2 linked regions of the Tribolium castaneum genome follow. The main gene of each other region encodes a partner of the protein of the gene in region 2 in a complex. Links are inferred from orthologs where the notes say so. Each region holds a gene or a part of one and is shown on either strand. Other genes may lie near its edges.

Evidence for each region. Proteins that work in one complex are often made in the same cells at the same time.
Region 1: RING-type E3 ubiquitin-protein ligase PPIL2 (region 2) and cysteine-rich PDZ-binding protein share a complex: the UniProt entries of both Homo sapiens proteins name them as parts of the minor spliceosome. The link is inferred for Tribolium castaneum from reciprocal best matches to the Homo sapiens genes PPIL2 and CRIPT.

The regions. Positions count from the first base shown.
Region 1 is NC_087394.1:8,405,601-8,408,132, forward strand, and holds cysteine-rich PDZ-binding protein, read left to right. Parts: upstream 1-1,295; 5' UTR 1,296-1,412; coding exon 1,413-1,585; intron 1,586-1,643; coding exon 1,644-1,773; 3' UTR 1,774-1,949; downstream 1,950-2,532. Other genes in the region: Noc1 (CCAAT/enhancer-binding protein zeta), read left to right, coding at 647-775, 823-1,190. UniProt on the Homo sapiens protein: As a component of the minor spliceosome, involved in the splicing of U12-type introns in pre-mRNAs. Involved in the cytoskeletal anchoring of DLG4 in excitatory synapses.
Region 2 is NC_087395.1:15,994,828-15,999,085, forward strand, and holds the start of RING-type E3 ubiquitin-protein ligase PPIL2, read left to right. Parts: upstream 1-1,352; 5' UTR 1,353-1,467; coding exon 1,468-1,499; intron 1,500-1,553; coding exon 1,554-2,511; intron 2,512-2,551; coding exon 2,552-2,703; intron 2,704-3,868; coding exon 3,869-4,058; intron 4,059-4,106; coding exon 4,107-4,246; intron 4,247-4,258. Other genes in the region: Ubc2 (ubiquitin-conjugating enzyme E2-24 kDa), read right to left, coding at 165-627. UniProt on the Homo sapiens protein: Has a ubiquitin-protein ligase activity acting as an E3 ubiquitin protein ligase or as an ubiquitin-ubiquitin ligase promoting elongation of ubiquitin chains on substrates.

The DNA.
Region 1 (2,532 bases), on a different chromosome or scaffold from region 2:
ACATATTTTCTGAACTTACCTTTAAATTTTAATTTTAAATTTTTTTTTAGTTTTTTTTTTTGAAAACACGAATGTTCGGTAACTCAAAATATACTTTTTCAAATTATTGTGTATGTTATATCAAGTAGGTTGAGGAAGTCTAAATATTTAATTTAATTTAATGACCGGAACAACATTATTAATAACAAAAATCTTTTTTTCTATATTAATTACTTTGTTAATTTTAATGAATTCTTTTTCTACCTCAGAAGCTTGAGTACACGTATTTATTGGAAAGAATAATTATAGAACAGATTAAGATTCATAATTAATATAAAAAAGTATATTTTGCTGACAACTGCTAATTTGTAGAAAAGAATTGTAGAAAAATTTTGAAAAGAATTACATAGATAAAAAAAATTAAATATTTATTAGCAAACGCTGGAAACCAGACAGAAATGCCTAAGTTTGTTGTAGATTAAGTTTACAAAAATAATAATAATCTGAGTGATCAATGATTTTAAATCTAAGTTGGCCACAATAACTATCAAATCTAAACGTTAATTTTTGTACTCGATTTTTAAATTTCACCTACAATTTATAGTACCAATAATAAAAATAAGTGTTGCCAACTTAATTTCAAAATGTATTTTGCTCTGTTTTCCAGAACGGACAGATGATGATGATAGTGATGACGATGATAGCGAGATGGAGGATGCTTCTGACGAAGAATTGTCAATGGACGAAGATGAAGATTTCGATGAAGATGACCTTGAAATGAACGATGATGACAAAAGTATATTTTTTGTAATAATAAAACACAAAATTATCCTTTGCTTGCAGTGCTTCTGGGTGACTTAGACGACGATGAAGACGAGGAAGTTGTTTTTGACGATGAAGAACCGAAGTCAGCAAAATCAAAGAAGAAAAAATCCAAAGACACAAACTCAATATTTGCATCAGCTGAAGAATTTGCCTCATTGCTTGACGATGAAGGTAGTTCGAAAATAGCCCCAGGAAGTTCAAATGCGTTATCAAATAAGGATAATGCGAGCACTAAACAACTTGCCTGGGAACAGAGTAGAAATAGGTGGTTGAAGGGATTTGATGAAGTAGTTGGCAAAAAGAAAAATAGTAAAGGTAGCAATTTTGGCAAGAAAAGGAAAGGTCCAAATAAATTTAATAATAAGGCAAAGAAGAGGAAGAATTAATAATCGACAAGGAAGCAGTCGATTGCATTTTAATTAATATAATTCTTTACGAATCCACCAGTTTTGTGTTTTATTTAATTCGTGTTGGTTGTATTTCGCGAATATACAACTACACATAACCCATAACCTAACTTTTCGTGACGTTTAACAGTACGTTCTGTTTATTATCTTCGTGTTTACAATTTCGTACCAAATTCACAATAATTATCGTGTTTTGTGAAAATGGTGTGCGAAAAATGCCAAAAGAAGTTGGGCAAAGTGATAACACCAGATCCTTGGAAAAGTGGGGCTAGAAATACAACTGAGTCAGGGGGTAGGAAAGTTAACGAAAACAAGGCTTTAACAGCTAGCAAAAACAGATTTAATCCATACACGTCCAGTTTTGAGACTTGCAGGTTTGTTAATGCAAGTAATCCTTAAAATTGATTTACTCTTCTCATGTTTTTATTGTAGAATATGTAGGCAAAAGGTGCACCAGGTTGGGTCACATTATTGCCAGTCCTGTGCTTATAAAAAAGGAATTTGTGCGATGTGTGGTAAGAAATTGTTGAGTACGAAGAATTACAAACAATCGTCAACTTGAACTACATTTTGTGTGTTACTTTTAAACAAAATTAAGCCTATTCTAAGTTTTAGAGCAATTTGCATTGTTTTGTAGGTACTGTTAGGTTTTCTGTCTGTATACAGTGAGTGTACGACAATTTAATTATCTTGAATGATAAGGTGTGTAATTATATTTAATAACTTATGACAAAAGTTTTTTATTTCATTTTTATGATAACATTTTTAACTTATTAATTCATTTCTACCTATTCTATCCCTATTTCTTTTTTGTTATTAAGGTTGACTATACATTATTAAAACGCAACTATCAAATATTCTAGAATTATTATTTGGACTTTTTTATAAACTAAAAAACTGTACCTGTAATATTATTTCCACAAAGTTAAAATACGATTTTGTCTTATTGCACTAAAAAAATAATTGAAAAAATTGATGTCTGTCGTATTATTAAATACTTCTAAAAGTGGCTACACTGTATATAACCTTTTAGAAATGAATTTCAGCGATTGGATTTTAAAAATTCACTTCCCTGTATATAAAAAAAACGTGACGAAGTCGTAACAAAATTCAATGAATCAGACAAACCTCTTTGTTTTCCACCTTGCAGTAATTACTTATCTCAGTGATTATATTTTTTGTTGGTGACGTTTTATCCATACACTTACACAATACTGCCGTTTAATTTTATTCAGTTTGGTTCTTGCTTTTGACGCAAACGGACGTAAAATTAAAATTTTCCAGTTCAAAATTTCAAATTTGTTGTGGGTAGTGATCGCGG
Region 2 (4,258 bases):
TAAAAATATTCAAAACATGCCGGTGACTACGCCGGTCTAATATTTGTCTGCTCGCTGCGGGTCTACGAACTATTTGGCACGTTTTTAATCCAACAAGAATTTTAAAAATAAATGCGATTCATTGTTTTACTTGTTGCGATTACGATTAAGAGAAATTGACCCACCTGGGTTGCAGTCGGTGAGTAGGGAGCAGATAGATAAGAGGACCTTGGAGATGGTGAGGGCGGGCGACCAGTTGTCTTTCAAAATATCCAAACAGATGACGCCCTGACTGTTGATATTGCAGTGGTAGATCCTCGTCCTGAACGTGACTTTAGGTGGCTTGAAGGGGTACTCTGGCGAGAAGTGGATGTCCAGGAAGAAGACGCCGCCCTCGTAGACGGACCCCGGGGGGCCCAGGATCGTGGACACCCACTCGTAGAAGTTCTCCCCTTTGGGGCCCGCACTGCAGTTCGGCGGCGGGTCTAACGTGATTTCTGCTAGTTCTTTTTGGATTCTTTTCGCTGATGTGCCCAAGGCCTTTGACATTTTCTGGTTAGGCTTTGATTCTTTTGTTTCCTTTTGATCACCGACTGCTGCTTGACCGCCTCGACCACGGCCTGATCCGCTAGACCCAGCTGAAGACATCGAGCTAAACAAAACAAAAAATCACCTCTTTGTTCCTCCCGGCGCTCGCCGGGGGCTGACGGGCGACCGTGCGAGAGAGTCACCTCAAGCAACAATGGGGTTCAATGTCTGATTGCGATCGCCGGGACAGGTAACCGATTATTGCGACCCTTCTCAAAACCAAAATTGATTCCTGTCAGCTAAGTCGGCCATTTTGATTTCAAGCATTACACAAGCCGTAAATTTCCATTAAATTGGGAAAAACGGGACGGAATTCAATAATTATCGATTAAAACACAACGCCGAACCCGAAATTACTGTAATTTCGATACGATATCGCTTTTATTGGGCGATATTTACGGCACAAGTTGACGATTTTTTTCAGCGCCTACTCGGCTAATACGCGCATAAACGGCCCTAATCGAGTTTCAGGAACGTGAAACTGGCATTGAACGGGAAATTTCAGCAGCAATTACACTTACTTGTATTAATTTTTGCACTAAAAACTGAAAACAATTCACTCCCTTTTTGCTAATATCGGCTCATGGCGTACTCGCTGAGCACTCAGGCCTGCCACCATACTACCGGAAATATGCAAAAACTGCACAGCCCAAAAACCTGAATTTCGATTATTTGCAACAAAACCGCCCTGTGCCACACCCCCAGGGCGTCGGTCGCCAACACCTCGCCGAAAATTACCAAAAAATTGCGGATTATTTTTTAAAAAATTCAAAATCCTTTGCACCCATCTAGGGGCATGAAGAGTGCGCGTGTTGTCTACCTGTTGTTGTGACAGCGAGCTAACCTCAAAGTCGTGTGATTTATATTTTTTAATTTTACCTCTTTACAAGTTACAGCAAAATGGGGAAGCGCCAGCACCAGAAAGACAAAATGTAGACCTGTCCAAAATCAGTTTCAAGTGCGTAATTAACGCAATTTTGTTTAAGGTACTTGACGTACACAGAGTGGACCACTCTTTACGGGGGCAAAAAATCGGGTTATACGACCGCGGAGGAGGACTATTTTAAGCGGCTCCCGTTTGACCACTGCTGCCTGTCGTTGCAACCGTGGGAAATACCCTACTGTGACTTGGACGGCAATATTTTTGATTTGGAGCCTTTGCTCCCCTTTTTGAAGAAGTTCAAGATAAACCCAGTCACGGGAAAGCCTCTGGATTTCAAGTCGTTGGTGCAGTTGAATTTCCACAAAAATGAAGAAGGCGAGTTTGAGTGCCCCGTCCTTTACAAACAATTCACCAAAAGCTCCCACATTGTGGCGATTGCCACCACTGGAAACGTGTACTTGATGGAAGCAGTGGAACAGCTTAATATTAAGAACAAAAACTGGAAGGACTTAATCAGTGATACGCCCTTCGAACGCAAGGATATCATCATGTTACAGGACCCACTAGACTTAAATAAGTTCAACATTTCCAACTTCCACCACGTCAAAAACAATTTACGAATCGAAACCGAGGAGGAAATCAAGGAGAAGAACGACCCTCAAGGCCACTTGAAAAACGTGAACCCTGAAACAAAATACACCCTTGAGGAGCTAAAACGGGACTACAAAGAGCCAACAATTGAAATAAACAAAGTCGAAGTTAAGGAAAAGGCGGACAAGTTCAACGCTGCCCATTATTCAACGGGGGCTGTGGCTGCGAGTTTCACCTCAACAGCGATGGTCCCCCGATTGGTGCACGAAGCCGCAGTGAAGCACGAAGATGAGGTGCGATACGACAGAGTCAAGAAAAAAGGCTATGTGAGGTTAATCACGAACTTGGGGCCCCTCAACTTGGAGATTTACTGCGACGAAGTGCCACGTGCTTCGGAGAATTTTATCAGGCATTGTGCGAGTGGCTATTACAACGGGACGAAATTTCACAGATCTATTCGGAATTTTATGGTAGGGACCCATCATGGGGGCTAAAACTAACGAAATGTAGGTTCAAGGGGGCGACCCGACGGGGACAGGGACTGGGGGCGAATCCATTTGGGGGAAGAAATTCGTTGATGAATTCAGGCCCAATTTGCAACATGTGGGGCGAGGGGTCTTGTCTATGGCCAACAGTGGGAAAAACACAAATGGGTCACAGTTGTATGTTTTACGCAGCCTTTGACTTTGAAGTTAAGTTGGCAACAATGGCAACAGTCAAATGTTAACTTTAATAGTCAATTGTCGTTTGAAATGTCAAAGTGACAAAAAAACTCATTTATGTCATAACTAGGGAGGACTATAAGTTAGGAGATGAAATCGCAGGATTTTCTGAACCTAAAAAATAGTACGGTGGACTAAAAATGAGGGCGCTTTGAGCGTTATACTGTCTCGGCGCCAAATCGTTTTAAATTAATTTAAATTCAACCAATGTTGAGCTTTGCACCCTTAAGTCTGAGAAAAACTGACGACTAAAATGTTTGTGATTTTTTTTTAAATCTGCGCTTTGTCTCGTATTTTTCAAGACGCTGCAAATACGGTTGAAGATACAAAAAAAGTGTAAGGAACAAAATTGTAGAGAATTAAATTTTTTACAAAAAAGTCCACGACACCATATTTCTATTTTAAACGGTTTGGTTATAAACTAACTTTTCAATACTTGACCACTGGCAAAATGAAGCAAATTCGTCGCTTGAGCGTCTTTGGGCGATTTTGGGGCCTAAATGGTTGAAGATAGGGATATAGTCCCGCGGACTTTTTTGTAGGAAATTTAATTGTCTACAATTATCTTTCTAACATTTTTCTTGCATCTGTAACCGTATTTGCAGAGTTGTCAAAAATATGAGTCAGAGTGCAAGTTGGTAAAAGTTTTTATTTTAATATAGTTTAAGATAAAATTTTTGCATTACGTTTATGTCCTACTATTGCGAATTTAATGCTCTATCTGCCTGTATTTTTTTGTTTGTCATGTGTTAACCGTTATGCAAACACAACCATTTTTTCAAATTCATTGCACTGAAAATTTAGACGGTAATGGAACATCTGCGCTCTCTGGCGACATTAACGGAACTATCGAATACAGGAACGTTTTATTTGTATGTCGTTTCATATCCTAACTTGTTTATATCCGTAGCCATAACTTTATTTTTTACAAAAAAAATGAGTAAATTTTCCCCATACTTTTTCCAAACTTTTAATGATTTAATGAATACACAAACTGAAGTATTTTTCATGATATAACGGGAAATGCCAACGTCCAGTTTTGCCAACTTAATTTCAAACTCAGCCACTGAGCAATAATCAAAAATTTAATTGTTTTTTTTTTTAGTTTCATAACATACAGGTCGTGCAAGCACTTGAATAATAAGCACACGATTTTTGGTCGTTTAGTTGGTGGCATGGAGACTTTAAACGAAATGGAAAAAATTGAAGTGGACAATAAGGATAAGCCCATTGAGGATATTGTGCTTATAAGGGCGCAAGTTTTTGTGAATCCATTTGAAGAGGCGGACGAACAAGTGATTGTCTTATTCTGTTGTAATGTGTTATTTTTGGTCAATTTTTAGTTGGCGAAAGAACGCGAAGAGGAATTGAAAAGACAGAAGGAGGAAGAAGAGGCGAAGAGACGTAAAGCGGAAGCTCAAAAAACCCTAAAAGTGTATAAAAGTGGTGTTGGGAAATATATCAATCCTGATAACGTGAAAAGGTGCCTTAATTA